3 linked regions of the Drosophila melanogaster genome follow. The protein of the gene in region 2 interacts with the protein of the main gene of each other region in a pairwise test. Each region holds a gene or a part of one and is shown on either strand. Other genes may lie near its edges. The genes, in order: Shrm, CG1598 and CG42820.

Region 1 (10,852 bases), 6.8 Mb from region 2:
AAATTGCCAATCGGAAATTTCCCGCCGCGTTTAAACTTCATTATTTTTTAATAAGTTGGCATACCACTACGAAACAATACATTAGCTTAGTGCTGCCGTACTCACACATATATGACTGATTGGCGCCACTTTCAAAACCGGTTAAGCCATATGGCGGTTTCAGCTTTCGTTAAAGTTCTATATGCCGCTGTTGTTTTATGTAATTCTATATGACCGACAGACGTCCTTCCTCGTGAAACTCAAGTAGCTGAAGGAAGCTACAAGTTCAGCGTAAGTTCATGTCACATGTGGGGCTTGATGGAAGACCACCGGCAAATGGCATGTTTTTTGGGATCGGATCGGGTTGAGTTGATCTTTGACTCGATATTTAACATAGACATTTACAACTTTTTTACCTAGAACTTGGCCATTTAGATTTGCAATTGCTGGTTGTTACAACATCCGCTTACAACTTGGGCGGTGGGCAGATAAATCATAACTCAAAACCCGCCCAAAAAAATTGAGTTTTTCCGGGAAGGTGCTGGTGTATACCCAACACTTTCCACACATGACACATGAACTTGTCCGGAGACAGTGACTCCATTAATAATTTTCACACGACCGGCAAAGGGGCCTTGTGCCATGTAAATTTTACAAGCGGCTCTTCCACATTTTCTGCGTTGCGTAAGTAGATACAGGTACGTCTTGGTTTTTTATGCAGCCGCATAATTATATTCTTTATATTGTTTGCGGGGAAACAAGAACTGGAACAACAGCAGCAACAACATTCAACTTTATTGTGGTTTTTGTTGTTACCGTTTTGGTCACTTTACAAATAGTTGAGCCGAGGAGGAAAAAAGCTCGATGGGATCTCTGCAGTTGGCTATGAGCGGGTGACTTGGCAATCAAACCGGTTGTCCCTGCTCCACGGCTCCATCTTTTTGCCTGTGTTCGTGTGTGATTTATAGTTACGCACAAGCGCGCAAATCCAATTAGACGAACTGGCTAACTGACTGACTGACTGACTGACTGGCCAACTGACTAACTGACAATCCGAAGCATGGCCCGCAGCAAATGCCACCAGGTTATAGGACGGCCGCTGGTTCGATTTGATCTGAAGATCTCGGCCCGATCTTCGCCAGACATATCGCCACAGTTGTCATTGGTCATGAGCAGAATTATGACCGAAACGAGACCATAAAATATGTGGAGCTGCTGTGCCACTTCTGCTATTGGTTCTTAAACATTTTAGAATTAGATCAATATCTATCCTCACTTTAAATAAATGTAAATACAAGAAAATATAGTTCTAAATGAGCCTATTTTAAAAGTGTAGTAGTAATAGTGAAATATAAGCCACGAATAATACCTTTAGAAAGAAGATTTCCTTAGGATTTCCTTTAAAATTAGAGTTACTTTAAATACCAATTGATTTCCTGATTTATTTACTGCCTATGCCCCATTTATCTACTATTTACTGTACCCATAAGATACAGATACAAATGGGTCGGCGGGAGACTGAATCTGTTTTCGATGTTTACATCATCGCCAATGGCGGAACTTCAGTGCCCCGGCCATACAAATGTCGTCCATCGTCCGCTGTCCACCGTCCGTCTTTGTTGCATTTTTTTTATTCATTTGGTTTTTCAAAAATACACACATTTGAGGAGCGAACGAAAAACGAACTGCAGCCGCATCTTTATCTAAAAATTGAATTGAAATGTGTGTCATAATACCTTTGGCATGCCGGCCAGTTGCTTGACATTAAAAATGCCATGCCTCCCCTCAAATTTCCCCCCTTCGACCAGTGAAAAAAACCACATATGGCTGAATGCAAATTTGCTGCCATATGGAGCAGAAAAGCCGATGACGTCGTCATCGTCTCACCGAAATTGAAATGCAACTCACATTTGGAGCCCGCTCCTAGCAAAACACTTTGTGTCTCTCATTTTTTTTTATGTTTTTTTTTTTTATTTTCGCAAAAGGGCCCTGGTGTTCGAAGGTTTCTGATTCCCACGTTAAATGGGTCTCCAGTGGCGGTATCGGCACATCGAGATCTGGGTCCCCGTTGCCGATGAGGGTGTGTTCCACACACGTTTCGCACACCTGAATGCTTAAACAGATCGGACCTGGCCACGGAATTGGAATCGGAGCGGAGTCCGGATAAGCGATAACCTTCGGCTGATTTCGGGGCTTTTCCTATGGAAAGTCGAGCCGGTCTATGGCTACGGATTTGGTAACAGCCGCCGGACAATAGACCGAATTTGGTCGGAAAGGGGAAAGAGCCGATTGATTGATAGTCTCGGCACATTCCAAGCTTCCCTTTGAAGGCACTGCAAGAAATTATGACTCTCTTTGTTATCAGCAATTAGTTATGGTTAATAACCAACCATGTAAAGTTACTAACAACAAATTCTAATTAGAAAAATTACGTTTTGCACTTCCTCTCATTCTATAGTTTAAAAATTTGATTCATGTTTTTTAATTTTTTTATTTAAATGAAAATACAGAAATTTTCAGAAAGCCATGACTGCTCAAATCCGAAAAAAGTTATATTTACCAATGAGTTGGTTAAATAATTTAAACAGGAATGTCTGCATTACTCATCGGTGTTATCTACTTTACTAATATTTAATGCCAAACCGCGACTTTTTAACGTGTACACCCCCATCCCCATAAACGTGTTTCGCCCCCTCTCTCTCGCACTTCACCAGTTTGTAACGCTCTTGTGTCTTTTGCAAAGCAAATGCGATTGGATCAACAAGCCCAAAGCGATGATTAATTGGGAATGACGACTGGAGGTGCGAGCCGCGGATTGGGAATACGGATTGGTAGTGGGAATGGGGAGGTGTTATACCATGCCATTGCAGATGGGTCAGATCCCAGTGAAGATCGTCTAAAATCGTTCAATGAACCAAACGGAAATAGAAGAACAGATAGATGAAGATCTATGATATGTCTGGAAACATAAACATCGTGGTTAGACTATAGCCATTGATTGGGCTTTGTTCTGGCTTCGGGATTCTGGCGAAGTGATATTTGCATGTTTGGGCCAACCTTTCGCTTGTACCGTTAAATCTGCGCTCTTAGCGCGGCCATAAACAATAAATTAGCCAAAAGCAGAAACAAAATGCCTCATTAGCACCTGGTTTGCGTGCGATATGCGAGAGCTTTCGATTTAACGGTTCGGTCATGCCCGATAAACTGATTGAGGCCCAATTCGATTTGGCCTAAAGGGGTTCAAGTTCGAATTTAATTAGATTCATTCCTTAGAGCACAGCCTATTATAAGTCGAAGTCTTACTTCCTATTACAATATAATTGAATTACTTCCTAGTTCTTAGAGTTTTAAATTAGTTTTTCTTGCTTTGTTTTTTTATATCCAAATATAGGTAGAATTGTATCAGTTTCTAAACCATATTCTAACCATATATGCATAAGTGTGTATATATAATTATCACTCTACTACAATCTTAATTATAGGGTTGTATATTTTAAAGAAAAATACATTTCAAAACATTTTTCCAAGAACCTTTACTTTGAACTCAACCGAAAGGTACGAACCATTAAAGATTTTTTGCTAGTTTTACTCACAATCTATCAAATCAGTTTATTGAGTCGAGAAAGATTTATTATACAATAAAAATGGGATGTAAGGAATCGATTTATAAAAACATCATATATGTCATTCTATCAATCAAACTTTTGAGACTTTTGGCCAAAAATATGTTTTAATTTATTTATTAATTTATTGTTTTTGAATGATAGCTTTAACCTTTTTTGGGCACATGCTAAAATTCAGAAAACAAAAATATTTTTTCACTGATTGTGATCAATTTGAAGAATATAGTATGAATATGAAATGGACAATGTGAAACTGTGACCATAAAATTAGGTATTTCAATCCTCACAAATATTACTACTTACTTCTGTTAAAACGTTTCATATTGATGTTGCACGAATTACGAAAGGTAATAAATATTCCTGTTAGCTGCAAGCCAAAACGTGCAGTTTTCAAAGAAACATATCGCATTGTTCTAAGATCTTTTTTTGGTAAGGAGTTCAAGTTCGAAACCCCGACTTCGTTGGTGGTCTTGGGTCTCCTGCTACGTCTTCTGATTCTCCTGAGAGCACACACACTTAATTAAAAATAAAAATCAACTTGCGCTGAAAATGAAAAGTGCAAACAGAACATAAATCAACTTTGAGTGAATCAGAATAAGAATCAGAATCAGATTCGAAATCGGAGTCCTCAAGAACTCAGTTTTGAAAGACTGGACCCAACGGCCTTGCTTATCAGCCGTTTTCCCTTGCTTTCCTCATTCGTTGGCTCTTTTAGACGCACGATCTTCTTATTCCCTTTTTCAGCTTTTTCGGGTTCAGTTTTTTTTTTGTTTTTGGCTAAGTTGCCATTTTGCCGTTTGCGGCAACAGGTTCTTGGCTCGCTTCTTGGCCCCTCTTTCTCTCGCGCTCTCTTTGTCCGTCCCTTCCCCCTCCCATTGATATGGATGAGTACTGGACAGCGGCAACAGGTTCTGAGCGAAAAGAGCCGACTCTCTCTCTCTCGCTTTTACCCTCTCCCACTGAGATAAGTGACTTTCAATACGAAATACAAACATACCTGTTTGCTTCGGCTTTACTTGATAAGAGGCTCTAACCCCCATTATTTAGCACTAAATTTACCACTGGGTCTTGGACCCATCTCTCTCTCACACGCACACACATGCACACGCTACACTTGCAGGTAGAGCTACAACAACAACAGCTTAGTGGTGTCTCAAGATAAAGATACTCTCTCTTCGGCTCTCTGGTGGACTGATTTCCAGCTGGCCGCTAACGTGGCCTAACTGAAAAATGCAAGGTATGATCGACTGGTTACAAATAACGTAACAAACCGAAAAAATGATCATGTGACACCAAAATATAATATCCTTAAATAAATAAAAAAACATTGCCTACTTTCTGGCGAATTTCTCTGTGTGCTCCACAAAAATTAATAAATTTTGCAGAAATCATCATCATTATATTAGCACCTGTTAGCTTAAAGAACTTAAAAAATATGGATTTTGTTAATGTTTTAAATTATATTTCTTTTCCCAAATTCTTCAATAAATGTTGGAACTTTAAATTATTAACCATAAGGCATCGGTTATTCCGCGAAATTCTTCCAGCACATTGTGTAAATCTAAAACACACATTACAATACAGGGTACTAGGATAGTCGTGTACTTGGAGTGAGCCAGTAGTAGTCTGCGGCTTTTTCGCAATCGCAGAGAGAGAGAGCCGGAGGGAGAACGGGCACGAGCCCGATTGGGATTGGAATTGCTTGATCGCGAGTTTCAGTCTTCTTTTGGCTCTCGCACCGTGCAGTTCGTGAGGAAAAGCGGAAAACCCAAGGAAACCCAGAGCGTTGCATGCCCCGCGATTCGGGGCTCGTGTCCGTGTACTGTGTACCTGTGTGCCCGCGTGCTCGTGTGTGTGTGTGCTAGCTTGTGAGTTAACAAAAAATGAAGCAACCGAAAATGCACAAAAAATTAAATGCAGTTTCTACTCAATGAAAATGCTGTGAATAAGTTTAATCAGCTCTCAAGCTCGTGTAAAAAGCAAGGGAGAAAAAACAAACAACAACAACAATTAGTGACCAAAAGCACGAAACGGCACAAAAAACGACAAAAACAAAAGGTGTCGTGTAAAAATGCGACCGAAAAATTACAAAATTCAGCAAACATAAACAAAATAAAAAAACCCGTGTACAAAGATCAACCTTCAAGGCTAGAAGAATTCTTCCGCCTTAAAAACAGAGCTTTGTGTTGCCTTTTAGCGGGTGGCAAGAAGTTTTTGATTCTCCCTCTTCTTTATCTTCATCGTATTCTTCTGCGTCTTCTCATTTTTTTTTTCGTGGCTGCTTCAACAAGTTTTCCCCCCAACAGCAGGGATTTTCCAACCAGTTTTTGGCGCTTGCCATTTTCCGCGCTTCAAAACTTCTGCCCCTTCTTCTGCTTCTTTTTTCTTCCTTTTGCGAGTGAGAAAGAGTTGGGAAGAAAGAGCGTCAGAGAGAGACGGGAATATAGACAAGGTGGAGCTCAAGAGCAGCTGCACATTTGGCATGGGTCAGTTTAAAAGACGAAACCATACTGATCTCGTTTGCATTTCTACACTTATAACCATAAAACCTGGCTTACAAAAATCCCCCAACCTCCCCCATTAAAAAATAGGTGTGGGGCATGTCGGTACATGTTTTGGATTATTTTCGACGGGTGCCACCAGTGAGAAAACACATTTGCGGTAAGAAACGAAATTCATTCAGCAAATGTATCTTTGAATAAGTGGTTCGTGTGACGACCAAAGCAATTACATAAGCTAGTGCAACGAAAAGATTCAGACAACTCGAAATTGAAGGTGTTTTCTTCTAGAATTGATTAAGGAGTGTTAGAACGCGGAACAAAAGAAGGTTGAAAAAACACTAATGCAATTGAAAAGCTGATAAGGCAGGTAGAGTCAACTAAAGACAAATGGAAACAATTAGGTTAGTGATATAGAAAATGAACAAAGGTGCAAGTAATAGAGGTGAAGTGGGATGCTAAGGAAGCTCATAGATGCGAGCTTAATACGTTTATATTGAATAAAGATAAGCCACACGTTTTATAACTGACTTCGGTTGTTAGACTACCGTTTAATCGACCAACTAACATGATACAACGTATTCAATGTAATTCAAATGCAGAGTTTGGCCTGAATTGGCCCAAACAATAACTGAGAGGCAGAGGCCCCAAGACAGTGGAAAATTTGCATAGACCACCACAAAGCTAGGAGAAAACAAATTCTCGAGTGCTAAAGAAATCCAATTCAGATTCTGCCAGAGATAACGGATGATAAAGAGCGGGAGGGGGCAGTAATAATAATTCAAATCCCCATCGCCCAGGTGACAGTTCTGCACTGCAATCCAGGGAAAGTGGGCGTTAATCGTTGACTCGGTGGGAATGGGCGGGTCCCATTCTGGGGGGAAGGAACTCGGAGCAGGCGTAGGGTTTCCATGTCGTTTCCATGTGACGACTTATCAACTGTCCCGACGGCAGGAGAGACGGGCTGGGGGGATCGCTTAGCATCAACATCAAATACTACTCAAGAATTTCAAAGCAAACTTGTTTGCTCAACTTGCCAGCGATTTGTGGGAGGAATGGGGGGTTTGCTACACAGAAAGAAAGTCAATGTAATTAAGTAATTTCGCTGGAAAATTGATCGATTTATTATTAGAAAACAATAAATAGAATAGCCGCTGGTGTTAATAACTTTTCTTTAATCATCGAAATGCCTTCTAAAAACTTAAGGGCCGCACCAAACGCACTCAGATTTTTTTGCCGTGTAGCCAGGAAGGTAGGTAGGTGGATCTGGTGGTAAAGGTGGAGGTGGAGCAAAGACCGAGTTCAATACACTCGGCGGCATTCAGTGACGAACATTTGGCTTTTGGGTGTTTTGAACTCATTTCGAAATGCGTAAAATTTGTTTTGTCTTTGCGTCTTTTATGTGATTGCCGTTGGAAGATTGATTAAATTATAGAGATGTGTTGTCGAGCGCCAATTGGTTTGTTGCCGATGATCTATTTAATTAGGAAGGCAAACAAAAACATCCGTGGAATGCGCTGCGAGGCGACCTTGCCATATTTGACGACTGGCTTTTCTATCTGCTTTCCACTCCCAGCCAACTTGAATTGTCGTCGTCGTCGTCGTCAACTTCATTGGCAACTCGTTTCGTTTCTGCCTCATATTTTTCACCCAGTTGCCTCTTTGGGTGTAGAGTTTTATCTTATCGGTCGCTGTTACCGGCTTGGCAGGCTAAGACTAATTATAATCTTATCTGTCACAACTAAGTAGTGCAAACATCAGTGGAACTGTAACCGAAACAGAGACGACCCCGTGGAAACATCTACAGCTGCGAATTTGGGCTGAGATCTGTTTCGCTGGAGCTGTAAATTCCTCACATAGTAAGCTGAAATTTCGGGAAAACAACATGCAGAGTGTTTTCCCAAATTTCGCAAAAATGTATGTGTGTTTGTGACCGCCTTGCCAGCTAAGCAAATAAACAGTGGCAATGATATAGGGGCGAACACCATCGCCAGAGGAATTCAACGTGTCCGAAAAATAACTTCCCAAGAAATTGCCATTTCATCACTATTTGAGATAGAATGGTATGTATGTGAGGTGGATTTGCGAGAGGTAAAAGCCACAAAAGTTGTTTACGAAGCGATCAAACTTTCTAAGACTGCAGGAATGCTTAAGGTGAATTTCATAAGCCTTCCCGAGATATTCTTAAACTAATACTTGTATTTGCTTTGAAAACTATACGGAAATACATAAGCTACTGCTGGCAAATCATTGGGGCTTACTGCCCAGTTTTATTGCACACATAATTTACAGATCTTATGTAGGTAGATTCAATACAAGCAAGCTAACAATGGATAATTCTAAGGAATATTCTGGTAATGAAAATACAGTCCGTTTTTCTTACTTTCCTGGGGTTTCCGAGTTTTTACAAATTAGTACTGGCATTGCAAAGAGTGCGAGGAATTCGCTAAGCAAATATTTGTGCTCCATACCACTTGTACGTGTGTATTTGTATCTGCCATATCCATACAACAGATACTTTCCACCTTGGGCCAGCATCTTATTGTTGTTGTGGAAATGATAAGCGAAACGAACGACCTTGTTTTTGAAGCCAACGACCTTCGCAATTTACCAAACCAATTACAACTTCAACGGGCAAACGAGAGAGATGTAGCATCCTGCTGCGAGATTGTGATCTGGGATCGAGGATGTGGACTCTGGGATTTGAAAGCCGAAAGGCGAAAGCGGAGATCCGACGGAAGTAAGGTGGAACAATTGACGGGATCGCGGGATCTGCTTAGGTAGTTTTTTTTTTTGGTTGACAGGATCATAAACAAATGCCGCTGCCGAGCCTGAAGAATGAGTTTCAAATCTGCGCCTTCCCTCTCTTTCACTTGGCCTCCTGCTGGCTCTTTCACTCTACATGGGGCATTTTCGCGCGGGTTTCTCGAGCTGTGGCTGTGGGTGTATTCATTTGCAACTACCAAGAAGCGCGGCTTGGGAATATCTTTTTCCCATTTCGTTTTCCATCTTTTTTGTTATTTGCTGCAAGCCAAGCGCGGCGGAGCACTAAAGAAAGCGTTGAACTTGCAGCAGGTTGCAATTGCCCATGTTGCCAGGCCCTTTTTTGCGGAAATCCAGCGAACGAATTGCATTTAATTGTAAATTTATGCGTCTGCTTCCGCCCCCCGACCCCATCCCCATCCCCATTCCCATCCCGCACCTTCTATAATTTTCTTTTGCTGTGCACTTGTGTAGTGTGAATGCCTCGCGATCTTCACCTTTGTGTGAATGTTTCTGCAGCAGGTGGTTGTGTGAGAATTGACAAAATTATAATGAGTCGACAATGTTGAGAATGCACACAGAGAAAAAAAATTAATTGAAATATATATATACTAAAGTAAATAAACAAGAATTTTGCAAGTTTTGCATATATGAATTCCCAATAGTTTTCACATCGTTATACTTTAAATTCCCTAAATTTAGTTGCTAATATGCAACATATTGCGATTCTATATTCTTGGGTGGATTTTTCCAAGTGTGCCGCTTGAAGCCACCAAACCAAACACCTCCGCCCAGGTACATAATCATAACACATAACCGAGCAGGTAACAGTTGCCATTCATCTTTGCGCTGCTTTGTTACGCTTGTTAGTGGCTGACACTATGGTGCGGAGTACAACTTGGATTTACGACGACCTTTCGGGCCGCTTTGCATGCCGCTGGCTATGGCTAACAGGCATCAGGTATCCGGGCATCTCAATCTCGGATCAGTCCTCCTAGGAATGCGACCGACCACCTATGCAGCGGGTAATATTCGGCAGATACATTTAAGCTGATAGGCAAACAGTTGGCTAGCTGAAGTGGAAACAGGGGTCACAGTTCACGAAGAGAACCGAAGGTTGCCAAAACAATATCTCTGTGATTTATTGTCCTTTCAAGTGATGCTCGTTGCGGAGATTAAGATATCAGCAGTCAAATAGGAAGTTGTTGAAACCGTTGAGAATGCTATGTTTTCTTTGAGCATTGTATCTTCTGGATCGGCGGAACTTTATTGCTAATAGAGATCAATGCGTTTCGCTTTGGCGGGGTTTTAGCCATTTGTTGTGACCTCGCCATCGATTGGCTGGCTGGCCACTGAAACCCGTTCTGGGGACTCGAACTGGGAGCTGCTAACTGGAATTGGAACTGGGAGCTGGGCATTGGAACTGACTGGGAACCGACCGACTAGCACTTGGTATTGCTATTGGCTATTTGGTATTGGGACTGCAATCGTGTGCTGGGGTGTGTGTGCTCATTTCGCTGGCGCCACTCCGATTTTGCATGTTTTCCGCATTATTTGTTGTGTTTTTTTTTGTCATTTTGCATTTTGACGTGGAATTTTTGTGGCCAGCAAAAGTGTCTAATTTCGCTGGCTGAAAAATCGAAAAAGCCGAATGGCCGTATATATAGCCACTTCAACGGCAATCACGCAGTTGTCGGCAAGAGTTTCAGAGCCGAATGACCAACTGAAAATCAAAAAATTCTACCCACGGCCATAATTAACAAATTGGCGATTAGTTGGAAAGCGTTCGCAGTGGAAAGTTGATGGACCAGGGGGCATGAAAGTGCATTTAGCAATGTCATTGCACTTTTGAAGCGGCTGCAAGCAGATTTATCTACCAGGTACTTTGCCCCCATCCCGAAAACAGGCTTCCTCTTTGAAGGCTTCTCGCTTGGGCCTAGGTCTTCTGACTTTGCACTGCGAGAAATTTGATTAATGATGTCTAGCATC
Region 2 (9,490 bases):
ACTGGTCGCGAGATCAAATTAAAAAGCAGATCCGCCAGACGCGAACTTTTCTTAACTCCCAGATGGGCCAGCTGACCAAGGAGAGCGCTTCGCAGATGAGCATTCCCATTAAGATGAGCGTGCGCCAAGTGCGCAAGTTTGCCGGGCAGTTCAGGCAAATGGATGATAACAATACGGGGTACGTGTCGATTGCAGACTGCTGCAAGGCAATGAAAACGATGGGCGTAAAGGAGGTGCCCGTCGACCTGATGCACGATGTCCTGCGGGACATTGATGTCCATGCCCAGGGCAAGGTGAACCTGTATGAGTTCCTTCTGCTCATGTCGGCTATTGTGCAGGGCAACACCGAGTACCTGCGGTACGCACGGCTGTATCTGGACCACAAAAGGCAGATGCAAGGCAGCAACTTTCCCACCGTAATGCAAATGGAGCGTGCCGGGGGCGGTCTTTGAAAGTATCATTCGTTGTAACCCTCTCCAGTTTGGAATACTGCATCCGTTAAGCGTTGTCTACGCATTACACGTCGAAGCAGATCCCTTCGGGGATCGCTGCCTCAACTTTAATTTATTTTACGCACTTTCTGTTCACACAAACTAAGGAAGAAACTTACAAACGGATGGGTAAAGGGTTGGACGGGCTATCCTATTCCTTGGGCTCGCCCTTGGGGTTGTAGGGCTTCATAAGGTTCTCGGAGAAAGAACGGATGCTCTCTGGACCGCGCACCTCTTTCTCGAGGAGCGGCAACTTGGTTACGTGGAAGTCTTCATACAGGTCGGCAATCTGGTCCAGGTACTTCTCCTGAATCTTGAAGCGGGAGGCGCACATGCTGCACGAGTCGTGCGAGTTCTGCAGAAACAGCAGTTGGTTTACAATGATGTTGTGGACGTCGATGCCGCACTTGGTTAGCTCTTGCACAAGTCGTTCCGTCTCGTACAGCGAGAAGAACTCTGCTATGCACACGCAGACGAATGTAGTTTGATCCTGCCGAAGGACGAATGCGGATTAGGCGTTGTACGAGCTAAATACATGTTTCTACGTACTGGGTTCTTGAACTGCTCGTTGACCTGGGTGATAACGCGCAGCATGTCGTCCAGCTTCTGGGAGAGTGTGTCAGCGTTCACATCAGCCATGCCCAGCATGGAGACGAACTGTGACAGCAGGGGCGCCACCTTCATCTTGAGCCGCAGCAGCTTGCCCAGCCCCTTCTCCACCACCTGGGGAAATGCAATCAGACGCAGCGTGTGTCCCGTGGGCGCCGTGTCGAAGACGACTACCGAGAAGTTCATGCCCTTGACCAGCTTCATAACCTCTGCATAGCTCATCGCCTCGTCGATGCCGGGCAGGGCGTTGATCATCTCCTGCATGACGCCCTTGCTCACGCGCAGCGCCTCATTTTCGCCATCGAAGTACTCCTCGGGCAGCTCGTTGAGACCGGCATTTGGATCGATTTCCATGGCGAACAGGTTGTCAAAGCCATTTACCTGGTTGCGGAAAAGGAATTGCGATGTGCTTTAGTTTAGCTTATACAATGGTAAATGACTTCATTTCCGGATTCTTCCACCAACCTTTGTCGGCACCTTGGTGAACTTCTGATCGAATGCATCCGATATGTTGTGCGCCGGATCTGTGGATATGATTAGCACGGATTCGCGCACTTTCGACAGCTGAACGGCTAGGCTAGAACTATGTTTAACACGAAGATTAATTAGATCAACCGAGAAAGTTGGCTTGTTGTTGTTGTTTTACCTGCAAGTCGTCTTGCCCACGCCGCCTTTTCCGCCCACGAAGATCCACTTGAGGGAGTCCTGCTCGACGAGATTCTGCAGGCTGGGCTCCAGGGGCTCCAAATTGTCGGCCATAATGCCCACTAAAGCGAGACACGTATGAAATTAGTTGAAATTAATAATTGCTTATAAGCAATGAATATGACTTCTGGCGTGCAGAGTGACCGTTTTTAGTATGCATACGTATAAGTTGATAGGCACTAAAATCAGCTGATCACGAAGCACTGCCAGGGATGGATGCTCATTTGGCGCCAAAGGAAAATTATTTGAAAATAAAATTTTGCAAATCTCAATAAACTTGACAAAAGTGAGAACAAAACTGCCAGCGGTGTGAAACTAACATAAGTTTCAACTAATTGTTGTTGTTATAACAATAGCAAAAAAATATTCTCAAATCTGTTGCTGCGTACATGCTCAAAGCTCCGCCGCTTTTATCGTGCCTATTAAATGCACAAAGCGCGCTCGCAGCCCAAGAAAATCACAATAAGTGCCGCGGATGCTTGACCCGTCCCCGTGTTCCCCGCGCCCGCTCTACCCATCACTGTTAATTGTGCAAATCGCGAGCTTATCAAAACCCAAGTGTCGGCGAGAAAATGCGAGCAGCAAGGGAGCACAAACCCAAGTGGCTATGGACTACTAAAAATAGTTGTGAAAACACCTTCGCCGTTGGGCGTCCGCGTTAAATAGCTTCGATTTTTGGTATCTTCGTGTCATTATGGGCTTCACCCCAAAACCACATCGATTTCCGTCCATTGCCGCCTAGTTTTGTCGTTTACTGAACTCGGCGTATATAGAGTTATTTCAACTTATCACAGAATACGGAAGCTGCGCTGTAAAATAATACTTATTCCAAGAGCTAGACCATTTTTGAGTGACTCTGTGGATGTTATTGTGAGTGGATTGCAAACATTGGATAAAACTTATTGAAAATAACATTTGATTTGCACTTAAATCAGATATATTTAGACGATCATTTTAACGGGGATTATTAAATTAATAAACGACAAAGGTATGTACTCAAATAAAAGAAATTGTTTGTTTTCATAAAACTGCTTCCATGCATGTATACTGATAGTGGATAAATACAGTTTTAATATAGTTTTAAAAATGTATAGTATTTAAACAAAAATTAGATGGAAGGGATATATATATATATATATATATTTAATGGGCCATTGGTTTGGACGATATTACATCAAAAAAATATACAAGATGAATGTAATATTTGAACAAAACCCTTTTTATCTTTTTTTTTGCAATTATAAATATACATATATGTATATCTAATAGTTGAGACAGTTGACTATATTTTTTTCTGTTGATTTATTTAAAAAAACTGATAACTGTGAACCTTAAAGTTAAACTTTAACACTTAATTTCTGTTCTGCGCTGTGCCCACTTGTGTGGGCCTGAATACGTAAGAAAGTTTATCATACTCCTCGATATTGAATGCGAAAAATGTTATCAAAGTTGATGAGAAAGTTTTCCTATCGCCTGTTTAAGCAGCTAAATTAAAAACAGATCAATTAACGTTAAAATCACACACGCTTGACAATTTGTTGATATTAACTTATCGCCAAGCTGAAAATATATTGTACAACCAAAAATATTTTTTTATTTTGATACAGAACGGCTTATTGAAAACCCATTTATGGCTGTTAAAAGTTGAACTGAAAAAATTGAGAACAAATCGCTTGGTGAAAAAACAAGAGTGTTTTTGCCTCATATGCGTGTAAATCCGTTTTATGCGACTGAAACGATTCAATCATTCTGGCAGTGCTTTTTAAAATAAAGCGATAAAGTTGGCTGGATGATTTATTTATTTGCCCAGCCCTGGGCTTTCGAGATCCGCTTTTTGTCTGTGCGTGCGTGCGTTTGTTGGCCCATGAAATATGAGCGCATTAAATTTTATTATATTGTTTGGGCCATTCTCGGCTTTGGTCCAAAGCACACACTCGCACTCTCGCACACACAGCCACAGGCGCAAGGACAGCAAACAAGCGGAAAGTTCAAAGTCAAACAATAACACTTTCCATAAACAAAAAACCCAGCTCCCACACACACACACACATATGAACGGCTAATTTGCTTGAAATCAGCGATGGGAACGTTTCAGTTACCGTTACCTGAGCTCCCCCACCTCCTGGCACCTATTCCCGCAACTTCCCATACTAAACTTTCAACGGGAAACTTTGACCTGTGATGGTGAAAGGGCAGGGGAAAGACATATCGCTTCGTTTATGTGTAAAAGTTTAGGAATTCAAAATTTTTAATGTGTATGTATGTAGTTTATGCGTTAATTGGTTTTGAATCTGGAAACTGATCCTTTGTCCAAGCCATGGTTTGCTGATTTTCTTAGTTAGATTTAATTTTTAATTTTTAATATTTTATCCAAACATGTAATATTACGTTTGTTTTTGATCATTTTTGTTACGGAAATTTTGTTAAAAATGCGTTTATACATAGGTGTTACTAAATCAAATATTAAGTCAAAAGACGTCGTTTTTCAATATACAAATTCTTTGAAAAGGTATGTACATATATTCCTATATAAGCGACATTAGCTATTGTCATAAAAAGCTAAATTCATTTAATGGTACTATGTTTAAAGAGGATATTTTTTTATGTTTGATGCAAATTAATTTGCATTTGCAAATTTAATTTCTGTAAAATACATTATCTTAAAAACATATCTAACCATAAAAACACTTCGCATAAACGTAGAATGTATGTTTTGGATCCGTAGAAAAACCAACATTGAAATGGGCACTCGCGCGCCGCTTTTAATAAATGTTTCTGTCTGCATTTTGTTAGGGGCTTTTTCGCCGCATTTCACCTGGCCGAGCTTAGCTTTATATTCATTGTCCTTCGAGTCCCTTGAGTCCTCCGAGTCCTTCGAGGGCTCACTTTATCAAAGCTTAGCACCTGACAATTTGCCGCGCGACATGCGGCTATCTTTCCCCTGTTCTGGAAAACTGTAATGAAAAAGTACTTTGTCTCCGCACTTCTCCATACAACTTGCGTCGCCGCCGGTGTTTTCCACTTTCCGCAGCTCGCTGTCTTTGAGCAACTAATTAAATTAAATCCGATTAGTTTGGCGTGGCAAGTGGAAAGTTTTGGAGTCCTTATGGCATTCCTCGCTGCTGCACTCTCAATATGCCGGAGCTCCAAAATGAGGATGCGAGGGAAGGACTTACTGGAGCCTTAAAATTCTTCACGGCACCTAACAAAAGGAGCGTTATGGAAACAAAGTTTTAATTAATAGGCCTTTGCCACAAAGCCTTCGATATCAAATGCACTTTTCGGCAGGTCTGGAACTTAAAAAGAACGAGACAGAGAGCGCTACGGTCGATTTCCTCGACTATCAGATACCCATTAACGTTATTTATCGACTTTTAAGACTCATTTTATTGAAAAGCTAATGCTTTTCATTTTTGCATACTTCAGCGCTATCTTTATTGAATGTATATCTCTTATTATTTAGCGCTTAACTAACTGATTAACGGGTAACTCACAGTCGCTACAAAAACATTATTTCATTTGTGGTGCAAACTACCCCCTTCAACGAAATATTCTTTCTACAATTATATATACATATGTATTATTGTGTATCATTGAACTAATTTAAACAAAAACATTCGTTTTTTTTTTGCTTAGAATAGGTTTGTCAAAGAGTTGTGTATAATATTTTTAACAATCCACAAAAAGGTACAAAATTGTAGGGCTCCCAGTTGCTTTAAGACCGAATATCTTGCTCTCTTACGCTGGTCCGTATTGTGATTAACCATTTGGGGTTTTCCAAGGGTCAACGTGTTTGCTTAGACTCAAACCTAATGGACAACCTGTGATGAAAGCTTTCATTAAACAACAGCATAGTGGGCACTCCCGGTTCAAGTGGCCTTTGGGGGGATTTGCCGTGGGAGAAGGCGCTTATTAACGCCACGCCAAACTGCCACTCATCCGAAGTGGGTTGTGGGTGGTGGGCGTTCGTCGGGTGGCATGCAACAGGCTGTCTTGCCAACGGAGTTTTCCGAGCTCCGCTGACAGCGCGTCACTCAGTTTTCCCTCGCTGAAATCCCGCTGACTCACAGCTCGCATTTCTGCATAAATTTCCACCGTACGCGACACTCCGTTGCGGAATTTCGATTAGCGACCGCTCTGGGCCGTCGCTGTTGGCCGTGACTTTGAATTGGGCCCTAACCGTCGAACAGTGCACTTCGAGGACATCCAGTTGCAGCAGACTGTCAAGGATTTGGCGGTGAGTAGGCCACGTCTTGATAAATTGAGCAAGGGTCGACAGGCGCTGAATATGATTGATCTTCTGCTGGGGATAATTAGCGCACTCGTTGATAAGTTCAAAAGTCACACAAAATTCAATTAAGGAATACGTTTTCCGGTGGTCTAAATGATATATCACCATTAGATAACTGTTTAACTGTTTCTAGGACTTTTGTAGCTTGTGGCGCCACAAGGATGCGCACACACACGATTGCAGGCGTCGCAAGTCAGTGCATTTATCTGTCTCTAAGGGCAAACATTTCAATTGCACCTGTTAACCGTTGGCTAAATTTATGACTTCCTCACTTGTTGTTGCGTTATCCTTTGTCTTTAGTTTTCGCTCAGTTGGGAGTGCGATACTATAAAGAGAGGGCGAGTGAAAGAGAGGTCTAGGCGCATCAAGGGAAATAAACACACACAAGTGCAAACGCAAGTACACCACACAGTAGCAGGAGCCAACAACATGGAATCTTAATTCGCACACAAAGCGCATTATCCGAGCAGAGGTGAACCCGCCAACCCTTCTCATCACCGCCTTGCTCACTCACCTTGGCGGATGGTGGGTGTGAGCGGAGAGTCCAAAGGAGGAGAGGGGTGCCAGCTGTCAGCCGGCAAATGGCTTTCACTTTCCTTCCACAGCCATCCAAGCGTGGTGAGTTCGGCGCTCGCTTTCTATCTCTTTACCCCGCTCTCTCTTTTGCGTTAAGAGACATTGTTTAGCAAATTAATCTTCAGTAAATAATATAACAAATGAGTTTTTTTTAATTTATCTGTTTTTATTTCACTTTCAATCTGAGGAAAGTGAAATGCACTCGTCTTCGAATATTGATCATACGCAGTGTTGAACGCGATAAAAAGACCTTTAAACCTAAAATATCGAAATTATTTTGATGACCTGGTAATAGTCTCTAATAGTGCAATGCATTAGGTATAAGGATACCTAAACTTAAATTGTTATTTAAATGCCTTTTTGCGAGGTGCACCTAGTCGTGTACGCAATTTTTTATTTATTTTTATTAAAACATTTAAATAACTGTACAAAACAATGTACAAAAGTAAACATTTTGTAGATGTTACCTCGAGTATCAAACATTACCGGCTTTATTAGTGCCTTTCTATGAAGGACTTAACCAGAACATTTGGCTTCAACTTTCAACTGTAAGTGAAAGCATTAAGCTTTTGAATAATCCACTTATCCACTGTTGCAAAAACTTCGGATGCCTCAGCTTGAAGCGCTCTCTTTCTACCGGCAAACTCACCACTGCCAAAGAGAAGGTCCTGTGGCCAAAGAGCGAGAGAGAGGCTGTTTGAGTCTGTGAAAATTGTAATTGAAATTCCAGCGTCGCCGATTCGGCGCCTGCAGTGCGTAGGCGGTTGTCGTTGACTGACGTCGTGGCCAACAGCACGTGCTAACCGAGGCGGCGCGTGCAGCAAAAAGTAGTAGCAGAAGCTGTAGTGGCCCACAACAACAGCACAACAACGGCATCAGCAGCCGAGCAGCCAGTTGAAAAGCTACACACGGAATATACAACACACAGCTCTAGTATCACAACAACTAACGCTTTGGGCTAGGCAGAGAGAAGGGAGTGGGCGAGCGGGGAGAGAGTTTAACTTGAGTGAAATTTAAAGCAGTTGAAGAAGAGGAAGCAGCAGGACAATACACCAATGCAGGCTAACTGTAAAAGTGTGTGAAAGCATAGTGAGTGAGCAAGAGGAACGGGGAAAGGGATAGAGGCTGAGAGTGAGTGAGTAGGAATGACAATGCGACAATAAATTAGCTGTAAACTGCACCTTGTTATTTGCACCTGAATCGAAAGTGGATTATATATTTTGCTATAGTATTAATAACAACAACACACAAAAGGAGGCCAGAACAACCAGCCAGCCAGTAATCAAAGTTAATTTACCAACACAAGAAACGTAAACGTGAGTTCTATTGACGCAAATAAGAAGAAGAGGAAAAGCGGGCGAATAAGTAGGCAACAGAAGAATTAGGAGCAGCAACCGGAGGAGCAGGCAGCGCGCAAACAGGATACTTAAAATATCAAGGCAAACACACACACACACAGAGACATACACAAACAGGAGTACACACGCACACGCACTTGCCCGAAGGAGGTTCATATTTTTGGCGAAAAAACACAAAACCACCGCACGAAATAAATAAAATATAAACCCAACCACGTTGAGGTGTATGGCCCAAAGGCAAGGCAAACAAACAGAGCTGAAATCGAGGAGAAGAAGCAGCGAAACATAAAGATGCCAAAATGCTGGACGGAGATTGATGCTGGCTGCCGAAGAACAGCACCCACTACAACAACCACAAGCACAGCAGCAGCAGCAGCAACAACTGCAATAACAATAATAAGGCCGAGACAAACGACAAGCGAGAACAACAGCAACAAGAGCAACAACAGCAGCGACAACCGCCAAATGTGAGCAGACAAGCGACACCAATTGAGATATGTGAGTAACGCATGCAGACACACGTCAATGTAGACAGTGGTGCCTCCCTAATTGCCACCTTTAAAGCGTTTATTTAATTAATAGATAAGGATAACGTTGATTTTATATTTTTATGTAACGGGACGAATAGTAATTGGAGATTAACTTAAAAGTCCTACAGCCTTTCAAATTACGGGGAAGTGAATGAACATTTTAAAGGGTTTTTTTATTATTCTTGTTTCTTATATGTTAGTCGTCGGACATTGAGGTATTTCATTAACAGTTTCAAATAAATAAGCACACGAATGTTTTTATATATTTTTCCATCTTGAGAAAATGGTGTGTGCGAATGAATCTTGCGATTGTGAAGACAGATCATTATACATAGAAACTTTTAAGGAAGTTTGTTTGTTTTGTTATATTTTGGGAAGAATAAGTCTTACTAATCTGAAAATGAGTTCTATTCTACTCGTAAAGTTTGTTTACTGACGCACCCCTGTACAGTGTACACTAACTGAAAATCAAGTTTGGGCGAAGAGCTTTATGCATATTTTTCCAGCATTTAAATGTGAAATGATGTGCTAGCGTATTATTTGACTTAGGCACAAAAAGTGCTAAGCTTCCAGGAGGAGCGAGAGACACAGAGCGCAAGAGACAGCGGAAGACAAAGAGAAAACAGGACGAAGAGTGAGATGAGAGAATAAATTGGTTGAACCTTAGGCAGGCGAGTTGAAGTGGAAAACAAACAGGGCAACAAGGCAGATACACACACACAGTGGCACACGGCGCACCTATGTGTGTCGCAGCCGCACGCATACACACAAGCACACACAGCCTACAGGGAATCACACTTAAGCGCCACGTTGCTCGCTACCCAAGTTGTATCAACTTGTGCTATCCCAAGAACCTCGGCCAGTCGCGCAGCATTTGAACTCAATTTGGAAGGACCAAATACCAACACACTTGCACTCACACTCACACTT
Region 3 (10,742 bases), on a different chromosome or scaffold from region 2:
GCTGCCTCCACGGCTGCAGTGACCATTGCGCGTCCCAATGTTTCGTAAATCGTCCTTATATTTCCCACATCTGGCTGGTCAATGGTGTTAGTACATTGATCCCGATGTCCAGGAGTTGCCTTCTCTAATTTGACAAACTCTTTCTGCGCTACGTGGACTCTTAGAGGTTCCTCCGGGTTCAATGACTTGGCATGGCCACAGCAAGGACACTCCGTCGCCATCCTTGATCCTTGCTCATTGTTAAACCTCGGAGGTGGTATGTAGATGGGCATAATACGGTCTTCTGGTCGAAGAACATAGTACACCGGTGGAGGTTGGTTTATGCTGCGGGAGAAATGACGAAACTGGCTTTGCGAATTCTTCCGCTTGGGTGTCGCATATTCCTCGGGTCGGATTCTTAAATTCCTTCGAGGAGGAGGGACATCCGTTGGAGGTCTTACATTCGGGGCAATGGAGACCGATCGACAAGGTCGCTCTGTCGATGTTCTGGAATTGGGGAACAAGGGTATCGTCTGCACCGAAATGGGCATGGCCTGCATCTGTCCACAGGAACTGGGCTGTTGGGACACCAGCTGGATCATAATGGTGTTCGGTGGACCTGTGCCGCTGGTGACCCTCGACTCCATCGCTATGGGAGATTTATCACGAGCAATTTGTAATCATTAATATCGCAAATAATTAGTTGTGTGACACCTACTGCGATTTAATGTTATATTTTGGAGTTTTATATTTCGATATGTATGGTATACGGTATAGCGGATGGGTTGATTAAAAACCAGGTTAGTAGTGCGGTAGTGCTATCACCAACAGTTAAGGGTAGTATATTAATATAAATATAAATGCGTAATTCTAATGACTTGTTTGCGTTAAGAATGTGGGGTTCCCCACGGTTAAGTATTAGGTATTTGAATAGAAGCCCCCAAATTTAAATTTCGATTATAAACCTTACTGTCCTAGTTTTGTACTATATTTAACTTATTGATAGGAGTGCTACCCAGTTTGGATTGTGGCACGCGGCATGACCTTTACGACACATCCATATAATCAAACTATTGCGTCAACAAAACTTAGGGGCGCGTACAATGCGCTGAGATACAGATACAGATACGGTGGGCGATACAAGGTGCGATTATTTTGAAACGATTTCATGTCGCTGCCAAAATAGAATTTCGCACAGGCTTCCCGCCAACGGAGATAACTGCTATTGATGAAAGCCAATATCAGTGCCGGTCTGGGGTATATAAGCTTGCGAATTCGCCCAGTTAAAGCACACTTACGAAACCAGTGGGAACTCAATTGCACCATGAAGTCCGGTAAGTTAGCTGAGCAAATCGAAAAGGAATCCCCATTTGAAATATACTTCAACCCTTTGCCGATCCCATAGCACTACTTTTGATCTGCCTTGCCTTCTTCGTGGCGCTCCTAAGCACCGGAAATGCGTGCGATCCCAATTCTGACAACCAGCCCGACTGCAGCGACGCATCCAACGTGCAAACGAACATCCGCAACTTCTGGGATCCCACTCGCTACTGGTGGTGTGAGTCCTCCACCTCCACGGCCACGGCTGTGTTGTGCCCGTTGTCCACTGGATTCGACCCCACAAAGAAGGAGTGCGTTTCATGGAGCGAATGGTCTTGGACTGCTTACTGTTGATTGCATTTTTAATAACAACAAAAATGAAAATATATGGCAAACTAAATGATTACATACATTGTTTGGATTTTTAAAATATCTCATGTTCTTGCGAGTATTCGAAGATATGGGAAAATGTTATAGAGCAACCTAGATTGGTATATAGAATATTTTGTTTCTGCTCAGTCGCTTTCTATAGGATGTTGAGTACAGTTGAGTGTTAACGAGTTTCATTATTATTTGTAAATAACATTTTTGAGATGTTTTTGTCCAAATGATATCTTGGAAACCTATAAAGATTAGACAGTACTCGTATTGCTACTAATTTGCATTTAATGCAATAAAATGTTTATGAACGAGAGAAAAGTAAATTATACTTTATCATATAAAGTATAAACAATATACTTTAATTTTACAAACAACTTTATTTTTTAACTAGAGCTTGGTTTCAAAATTTGTTTGTTTATTTCAAAAACACTGTGTCTCAGTGTGTAAAGTTTTACAGGGTATAAATTGTCTAAATAGGAGCCGGTCAATTCAAACAAATCATATGCAAATTTTTTGTTCAATAATATTTTAATATCATAACTAAGTATACTACAACACTTGGTGAAATATACTTCTTTGTTTGAAAACGAATTGTACGACGGCGTCAAATGTTCGAATTGTCGAGATACAGATACCAATCGTGATCATGAGATTATTTTTAAACGATTTCATGTTCTTTAAGAAATAGAATGTATAGCTCCGATTGTCTCAGACAATATGTCAGGGAATAGATAGCAGGTGGCTATAAAATGTCGAACGTTGCGTTCCAATCGCATTCGGTATTAATCACTCGAACAAACCACAATGAAAGCAGGTGAGTTTCATTGATGACCTCACATCGCTGAAACCATTGAGATGCCAATAGCGGAATTCTGTTTCAGCTTTAGTCCTTCTCTTCCTGACCCTCTGCGTTGCCATCTACGCCGACCTTGACTGCAATCCCGATGGCAATGGTGAGCCCGATTGCGTGGGACGCTCCGGAGAGATTTCCCGTGACTTCTGGGATCCAACCCACTACTGGCAGTGCTCTAGCACCGGACAGGCCGAGCTAGTTGCCTGCGAGCAGAACACTGGATTCGATCCGAAAACTGGAAGCTGCGTCGATTGGAGCGTTTGGCAGTGGTATCCTCCATGTTCCGAAGCATCCACTTAAGCAATAAACTTCTCTTGCAGTTTATACGTTTTTCATTAACTTTTTTTGGTTCATTTGTAATGGTATTTAACTGGGAAGATGGGCTTGAATGAAGTCTAGAATATATCTCTAGATTTCTCGGATCTTTATCGAATTTTTAACAGAGTATTTAATGCTTGAAAAGGTTAATGTTCCGGGTGATTATCTCGTTGGGAAGTGTAAAAAAAAGGGTTAGTCCGAGGAGGAATTAAATAATTGATCTCACAGACTATTAGCCCTCGAAATGTACAAGTACGCAACTTGCATTTTCTCCATTTTCGCTTTATGGAACTTTTGGGGCGTCAGTGCCAAAAAGCAGGATACTTCCACAGGAACAAATGAATTGCCAAAAGCACCAATGCCGTATTATACAATCGAGAATATTGATATGCACCAGCAGCACTGGTTTACCTACAATTCGCTAAGACAAAATGGAACTTTGTGGAGAATTGGTAATATGGAGCAACGCTTAGAAATGCGATTGCAGTCCTTTCAAAACCAGATGGAAACTAAACTTCGGGCTCTAAAGCAACAAATTGAACCCTACATGGAAAACGTTAAAATGTCCAACAAAATCAAAATGTCCGTATTCAAGAAGATTGGCTCCCGGCACTTTTACTTAGAAAAGCAAAAGAAGATGCCCTGGGATAGCGCATACGACACGTGTCGTCAAATGGGCGGTCACCTGGCGAATATCCTCGATGAGAAGGAGCTGAATGAAATATTCTCAGAGGAAACCAAAAAAAAGTACTGGGTAGATATCAACAGCCGTGCCAACGATGGAGCGTCCTGGATTTCTACACTATCCGGAAGGGATGTACCATTTCTGAAATGGAAGCCAAATCTGGCCACAAATATACATAACCATTGCGTGTATATCAATTCCAATGAAATGTACTTTGAAAATTGTGCCAATGATAACTATTTTGCTTGCCAAGCCGAGCAATGGGCCTGAATATCGAGCATTGATTTTTAGAACTATTTTAAACTTTAAATGTGACTTTGATAATAAAGGTTTAAAAATTGAACTCCTTTAAACTTTAATATGTATTTTTTTTAAATCATCAAAATTGCAATGTGTCTTTAATAATAAAGCTATTAACTTTAGGCATTTTATATTTTTTTTTTTCAATACACCATAGTAGATTTTCATTTTTTTTAATTTTTCCAGCCTTTTTGCTTTTCACAGTGATGCTTTAAAACGGTTACATTATCATTAAAAAGCGTGACAAAATTAGTTGAGCTCATTGGAAGTTCTTTAGCCAGATTGGATCTCACACGCTTGAAATCTTCCAAACTGGACATGTACGCATCTAACCTCTTATACCTGTTGGCATTATGGAACCTTTGGGATCTCAGTGGTGGGCAGCAGGACATTCCGAACGGAAAGGCTACATTGCCAAGTCCACAAACGCCGCAAAATACAATCGATCAGATTGGTATTAACCAGAATTATTGGTTTACATACAACGCGCTTAAACAAAACGAAACATTGGCAATTATTGATACAATGGAAATGCGCATAGCAAGTAGCTTGCTGGAGTTTAAGGCCCAGATGGAAATCCAGCTTCAGCCGTTAAAGATTATAATGCGACACCATGCATCCAACATCAAAGCGTCTAACAACATCAAGATGAGACGATTCGAGAAAGTTGGCTCCAGACATTTTCACATCGAGAAGAATCTAATGCAAACTTGGTTTGAGGCATATGTCACATGTCGTAAAATGAACGGTCATCTGGCGAACATCCAGGATGAGATGGAGCTGGATGGCATCTTGGCGTTAGCACCCAACAATAGCTACTGGATAGATATATCCAAACTGGTTGAAAATGGCGGCACATTCGTCTCCACCCTAACCGGACGAGAACCCTTCTTTGTCAAATGGAAGAGTAATCAGGATACAAAAAAAAAGAATCAATGCGTTTACATCTATGCTAAAGAGATGTCCTATGATGAGTGTTTTGAAAAAAAATCTTTCGTTTGCCAAGCAGACCAGTGGGCCTAAACATAAAGAAAATATTGTTTTGTAGCTTGAATAAAAAAAAACAGCTCGTTTAATGATTTTATTGTATATGAACACAGTGTAGACAGGTCTGCACTGAGTATTATTTCCAAATTCACTCATTCAAGCTATTTGCAACACCCACAAAATTTACCAAGTTTCTTAAATTGTTTGTTCTTCGTTTTACTTGTGAATTTATCCACTTGCTAGGAACATGGTAAAGAATACAGGTGTTGATTTGGGACTACCCGTGGCTAGTTGGTATCGTGGTCTATCGCTCGATCAGATGCAGGCGGCCGATGAGCTGGGAACGGCACTGCAATTCGATATTAGGTCCATTCGGGATTGTCTGCTGCGCCTGGGAGTGCAACCTTTGATCAGAAATCGTGAACTCCATAGAATTTGGCGTTTCAGTCGTGGCCAGAAACTGGCCTTTCTCTACTTTCTATTCCAGGAGCACTACGACACCGGCACTTCGTGCGGAAAGTACTCAGTTAATGGACAACTTCTGCTCTCGGCCATCGCCTATCTGGATTTGCCTGCAACTTTTCGAGCTCTAGACAAAGTGCTACCTCTACCCGGTGTTTTATGTGGGCAAACCAAGATACAGATGAAAAATCGACAGATTAATAATGTAAGCTGCTAATTAGAGTTAAAACTATTATATTAAAAAGAAGTTTTGGTCTTTTGCCCTCTTTCAGAATCGCTCTGCTCGGCCTTCCATCATAATACCGAATTCTAAGACCTATCCACAAAATATAGATGAAGAAATGCCACTGGATCTACCGGCTACATTTCGAGCTCTGGACAAAGTTCTTTCCTCGCATACAACTAAAAAGAAACCATCGTCTTCGCGCAAAAGCTACTACTTTCAAAAGCAACCACGTCCCAAAACCACTCCCCGTCGGTCTAATCAGTTTTTGTCGGATTCGCCGCTGTTAAAGATTCAGATCCCTAACGAAGTGGGCGATCCCAAAGAAGATGAGGACCGTTGGTATGCCGACTTCCAGTTTCATCCCATCCAGCGAACAGTTAAGGCAGTTATCAAACACGAACTGTGTCACCTTTTCGACCACATAGACGAGGTTACCACGGATCCTGCACAGAAAGCGAGGGATCTGTGCGGGTTCCATGAGGAAACTCGAACCCAGGAGCGACAGGCGTTCCTGCAAGAGCAGCGACGACGCTATTTGGATATGATTGACTTGGAAGGGACCGCAAAGCGAGTGAGTAATCCTATTAACAAAATTATCTATAATTAATTTATGAATAATTGTTGACATTCATTTCTCTGGTGAAGCTTACAAGGGAACGGATTTTGCATCACATTAATCGCGACGTGGATGAGTACCTTCTAAAGTTTGGTGACAAGGGCTGGAGTCCTGGTGTGCCTGCTTTCCGGAAAGCCGGTTGTGTTGCTTGCAACGAATTGGTGCACGTAAGCTTGGACACTCCTCCCCAGGTGCTACTCCTCGAAGGTGAATGGGGACGTCTGTACGACAGGAGTGGTGCGCTGATGCGACTCTGCGCTGGTGAGGATGGCGAACCAGATGTATTGGCGGAGGAGGAGCAGGAGGAGGAGGAGGATTCTATTGCCATACCTGAATATTTCACGTCACCCGGAGACCACAAGCCCTTCGCCTTCAACTATCCACACGTTTTCAAAAGGAACAGCAAGCAGTCTTTGGACACAAATGATGTCGTTAAGAAGTCCTTAATGGAAGCACTCGGTGGCCAAAAAAATGAGCATCGACAAGGAGTCCTTGCATCGGGGCCGATAAGGAGAAGTCACATCAACGAAGCCGTGTCCCGATGTGTGAGAAAAATCTTTGAGAAGAGTTTGCTGGCGGTGCCGACTACGCCGACACCCAAGGATTCCATCGAACGCCTCGTCTACAATCGCGAGCGAATCGATCCCGATGATGACAAGTTCATGGACCAAATGCTAAGCGATGGCTTTGAAATCTTGCGTCGCGACAGCAAACTGGTGCTGGCCAGCCTCCACAATGGCCATCAAATTCCGGAAGTACGGGAATGGATTTGTAGGAGATATGGTAAGCGATATGGTCCACAAAGCCATGCGGATTTCGAAAGCTACAGACACAATATGGCTAAATTGTCGGAGATGGAAAAGAAATTGATTCCGCTGCTAACTAATATAGATCCGCTGATCGTAAAACAAAATCCCATTCCATATGCACTGCACAAGGAAATTATGGAAAAATCCAACAAATTTAAGAAGTCATTTCGCGATGAAGTCCTTCAGATCGTCCTGAAGCAATCCCGTCTCTGCTGGCAGGCGCAGCACAGCCTGCGCTTTGTCAACAGTTCCAGGATTCGTCGTACCTTTTTTACTTATCTGCCCAGTTCTGTCAGGAGTATAGATCCCACCTTCAGCTACTACTTAGCTCGTAAAAATGGCTAAGCACACCTTAGCTCCTAAATCAGGATTTTTTGTAAGAACAAGATTTTACAATACCCGATGTAGTGGTCATGACTGACTGACATTCAATTATTTGAATCTCTAGTGCGTAGTGATAAGTTCAAGACTAAATTGATATGTTTTTATACCTCTGACTATTTTTACCATTTGACAAGTAGAGCTTCTGAATATAGAAATGTATATGTTTGATGTGTTTTTTCTATTTTATTAAGGGATATTTGGCATTAAGCTATCATAAGATTTAAAAAAATTTGTGGACGGCTTTTGTCTGTGCCTAGCCGACCGTTTATGTGTTCCATCCTTGTCTAGGGGAGTGCTAACTTGCTCTCCTTCCAAACAACACGTTTGGACCACACACTTGTCGCGCTTTATAAGCACTCCATGCGGAAAAAGAACTTGGGAATTTTAAGAGCCCATTGCATGAAAATTAGTGATATGCATATAACAACTTTTAATAATGTATTAAAACATATTTATGCAATGTGTATTTATTATAATTTTCCATAACTCATAAAAAAAATTATTCTGGCTAACATTGACACTGAAATTAATGGGCTGATTGATTTCCCGTTTTGGGCACCTGCAACGTGACATTGACGACAACTCCAAATGACCACAAGGGCCACTGGATGACCCAGTCATTAACCAAACGACCACGTTTTACCACCAAAAATTGATTAATCCATCCACGTAGTACCCGAAAAACATATAAAAAGACAGGTAATGAACAGCAAAGTTATCAATCAATCAACAACGGTTCCCTCATAAGTTCGTGTATCTCTTGCGTCAAAGCCAATATGCGCAGCTACGTGAAGTCATCCTGTTCCTTGCTGGTTCTGGTCCTGGCACTTGGAGCGGTTTCAGCTCAGCCAGCACGGCTGGCAAAGCAACTTCAGAAACAGCAGGCAGCACCCTATCCATCCGCCGACGAACTGAAGCCGGAGGTGCCATTCGAGGAAGGAGTTCCGGATCAGACATATGGACCACCGGATCTGACCTACGGCCCACCGCCTACCGATGCAGTTGAGCAGCTACCCAGCGATGAGGAGCCGCAAGACTTTACACCCGATCCGGATGCAGAGGAAGTTCAGCCTGTCCAGCAGGCACCCGCTCGCCTGACCAAGCAGATTAGGAACGGTCCACGAGCTCAAGGACTGATTCTGCTCTCATCGAGTCCATTGAGAGTGGCTAATTCCAATGGAATCCCATTCCCAGTGACCATTCAAGCCCTGTGGTAGGAATACTAAATAACATCAATTGTACTGATTTTTATAAACATTATATTAATTATTGTCTTTGTTACCGATTGAACTATTAAAGAACATTTGTTGATACACCGAATTGATGTATTTACAAAACTTTATCGAAGGTCCCATTTCGGGACCAGTACGGCTAGGGGTATACATATATATGTATTTATAGTTGTATAATTACAAATAATCGAACGATAAAAGTATGCAGATAACATTAGCTAATTTCGGTTTTTGGGAAATTCTTAGCAGTTGCTTTGGAATGATCTGCCCCGACCTAGACTACATAGTAAAAGCTAAATAATAATTTAGTTAAGAATACTACGTAAAATCACGTTTGGCATTGTGCGGTCATCGAGTTAACACAGAAATAATCTCCAACTGACAAACTGAACAAATGTTGAAAAACTTTCTACTTAAAATGCTAGTTATTGTCTGGTACGATTGCAGCTGGCTGATAACAACAAAAAAAAATGCAACTAATTTGCCATAAATATAAATTAATCACACTAAAGCACCGCCACTGGACTGGACCGATACCAGTTGGGAAATGGTAAACAACTAATGGTAAACATATTCGTAGTCTGAGTGTAACTACATAAAGCCTTCGTCATAAATTCGCACACATTTGTAGGCAGAACTAGCCAGGTTCTGTTTTCGATTCGCTTATTTCGATTAAACTCAGTGGGTTCTGTCGTTCAGGATTTGAGCTAAGCTGGCCCAGGTGCCAAACACAAAGCCACAGAGTCCAAAGATCAGGATTAAAACGTCCTTCCATAGCATCCAATTGAAGCGTCCATAGCCAACGTTGTAAAATGTAATAACTTCAATTATGGGTGGTGCAATTAGGGCCAAAGCTGAGCTGCTGACGGCTCCTACCAGCGAGATAATGGAGCCTAGATTGGGAATGCAGGTGGCCAGCAGGACTGTGAAATAAAATACGATGATAATTGGAACATTTTAAATATTGACTATCTATGCGTACAGGTAAAAGTGACCAGAACAACTCGCAGCACAGTTGCTGACAAATCCTTGGCCCTCGTTGTATCGAAATGACTTCGCACAAAGGGCTCCACGATGTTCACAGGCACATAAAACTGAAGCGTATACGAGAGGAAGATGGCCACCGCCATTGAAATCCGCACCAACTGGGAAAGTCTAAATATGTAAAGAGGAAGACAATTAAAATATTAGTATTGCAGTCTGGGAATATCATTAAAAATTGTTATAACACCTTTTGCTAGCTTTATTATCATGTAATTTAAAATTATTTAGACAGTAAAGTTAATAACGATCTTAACTATCTGAACTATCAATATTTCGAATAGCGCTTTTCAAATAGCAAGAGCATGTAGATTATGTATATCAGCATGAGAAATATTAAATCCCTCTGTCTTACAACTAAAACCGATTAGCAATGGAAAGTTTAAGGACTTACGTGTCGCCCTGCGGCAGATTTAGGGTAATGCTGCCCTCCACGTGTTCGCCGTACTTCAGGTAGCCGAAGAACCCGACAGCTGTGTACAAGCAGGCCACGATCACCATGCCCGTGTTGAGGACACCTGTGGTGCCGCCAAAGTCCTCGGGTGTGCGCATATTGTTCTCCAAGGGCAGGACAACACCAATTCCCTCGAACGCGTAGATGGCGGTTCCAAAATATAGAGGCAACGTCGCCCAAGTGGCCACCGGCTTGACCGTGTGCACATCCGGCAGATCCACCAGCATGTACGAGAATGTAATGGCCAGTCCGGCAACTGTGAGCAGGGCGGCAACCAGCGAAACGGGTGTCAAATACTTCAGATTCCGCACCAGATTCAACAGGATCATGGGTCCAAGCATTATAAGCAGGTAAATCTGCACAGGCATCTTGTAGTAGTGATCCATAACGTCCTTGATATTCAACGCCACAAAGAGGAAGTAGACGCAGCAGAAACCGATTTGCGTGATAAACAAGAACGTGGTAACAATTCGTCGAGCCAACATGGAGTATCGTCTTAGTCCCAAAGGTCCCGACTCAAAACTGCAGTATGCCACCTCCGAGAAATCTAACGATGGCTGCTGGAATCTCCGGCACAGCTCGTGGGAGCAGTTGACCAGCATGTGCATGCAGTGAGTGCAGATGGCTCCCATGATCATTGTGCCAAAGAGTCCCACATAAAGTCCGGCGTTCTTAAAGGCATCCGGCATTGCCAG

Evidence for each region.
Region 1: the proteins of CG1598 (region 2) and Shrm interact in a two-hybrid assay, tested with the Drosophila melanogaster proteins (one large-scale study listed by BioGRID).
Region 3: the proteins of CG1598 (region 2) and CG42820 interact in a two-hybrid assay, tested with the Drosophila melanogaster proteins (one large-scale study listed by BioGRID).

The regions. Positions count from the first base shown.
Region 1 is NT_033778.4:14,302,824-14,313,675, forward strand, and holds the start of Shrm (shroom), read left to right. Parts: upstream 1-5,318; 5' UTR 5,319-5,470; intron 5,471-10,852. UniProt on the Drosophila melanogaster protein: Binds to Rho-kinase Rok and targets it to the apical cell cortex where it mediates apical constriction.
Region 2 is NT_033778.4:7,537,732-7,547,221, forward strand, and holds CG1598 (uncharacterized protein), read right to left. Parts: upstream 1,966-9,490; 5' UTR 1,860-1,965; coding exon 1,747-1,859; intron 1,684-1,746; coding exon 1,566-1,683; intron 1,482-1,565; coding exon 1,041-1,481; intron 982-1,040; coding exon 643-981; 3' UTR 501-642; downstream 1-500. Other genes in the region: Gpo2 (glycerophosphate oxidase 2), read left to right, coding at 1-452. UniProt on the Drosophila melanogaster protein: ATPase required for the post-translational delivery of tail-anchored (TA) proteins to the endoplasmic reticulum. Recognizes and selectively binds the transmembrane domain of TA proteins in the cytosol.
Region 3 is NT_033779.5:8,386,624-8,397,365, reverse strand, and holds CG42820 (uncharacterized protein), read left to right. Parts: upstream 1-4,967; 5' UTR 4,968-5,070; coding exon 5,071-5,490; intron 5,491-5,557; coding exon 5,558-6,082; intron 6,083-6,156; coding exon 6,157-7,281; 3' UTR 7,282-7,485; downstream 7,486-10,742. Other genes in the region: CG13385 (uncharacterized protein), read right to left, coding at 1-626; Peritrophin-15a, read left to right, coding at 1,304-1,313, 1,385-1,653; Peritrophin-15b, read left to right, coding at 2,485-2,494, 2,562-2,833; lectin-29Ca, read left to right, coding at 3,096-3,806; Acp29AB (accessory gland protein 29AB), read left to right, coding at 4,155-4,859; CG42819 (uncharacterized protein), read left to right, coding at 8,097-8,537; CG13384 (uncharacterized protein), read right to left, coding at 9,231-9,475, 9,535-9,707, 9,988-10,742.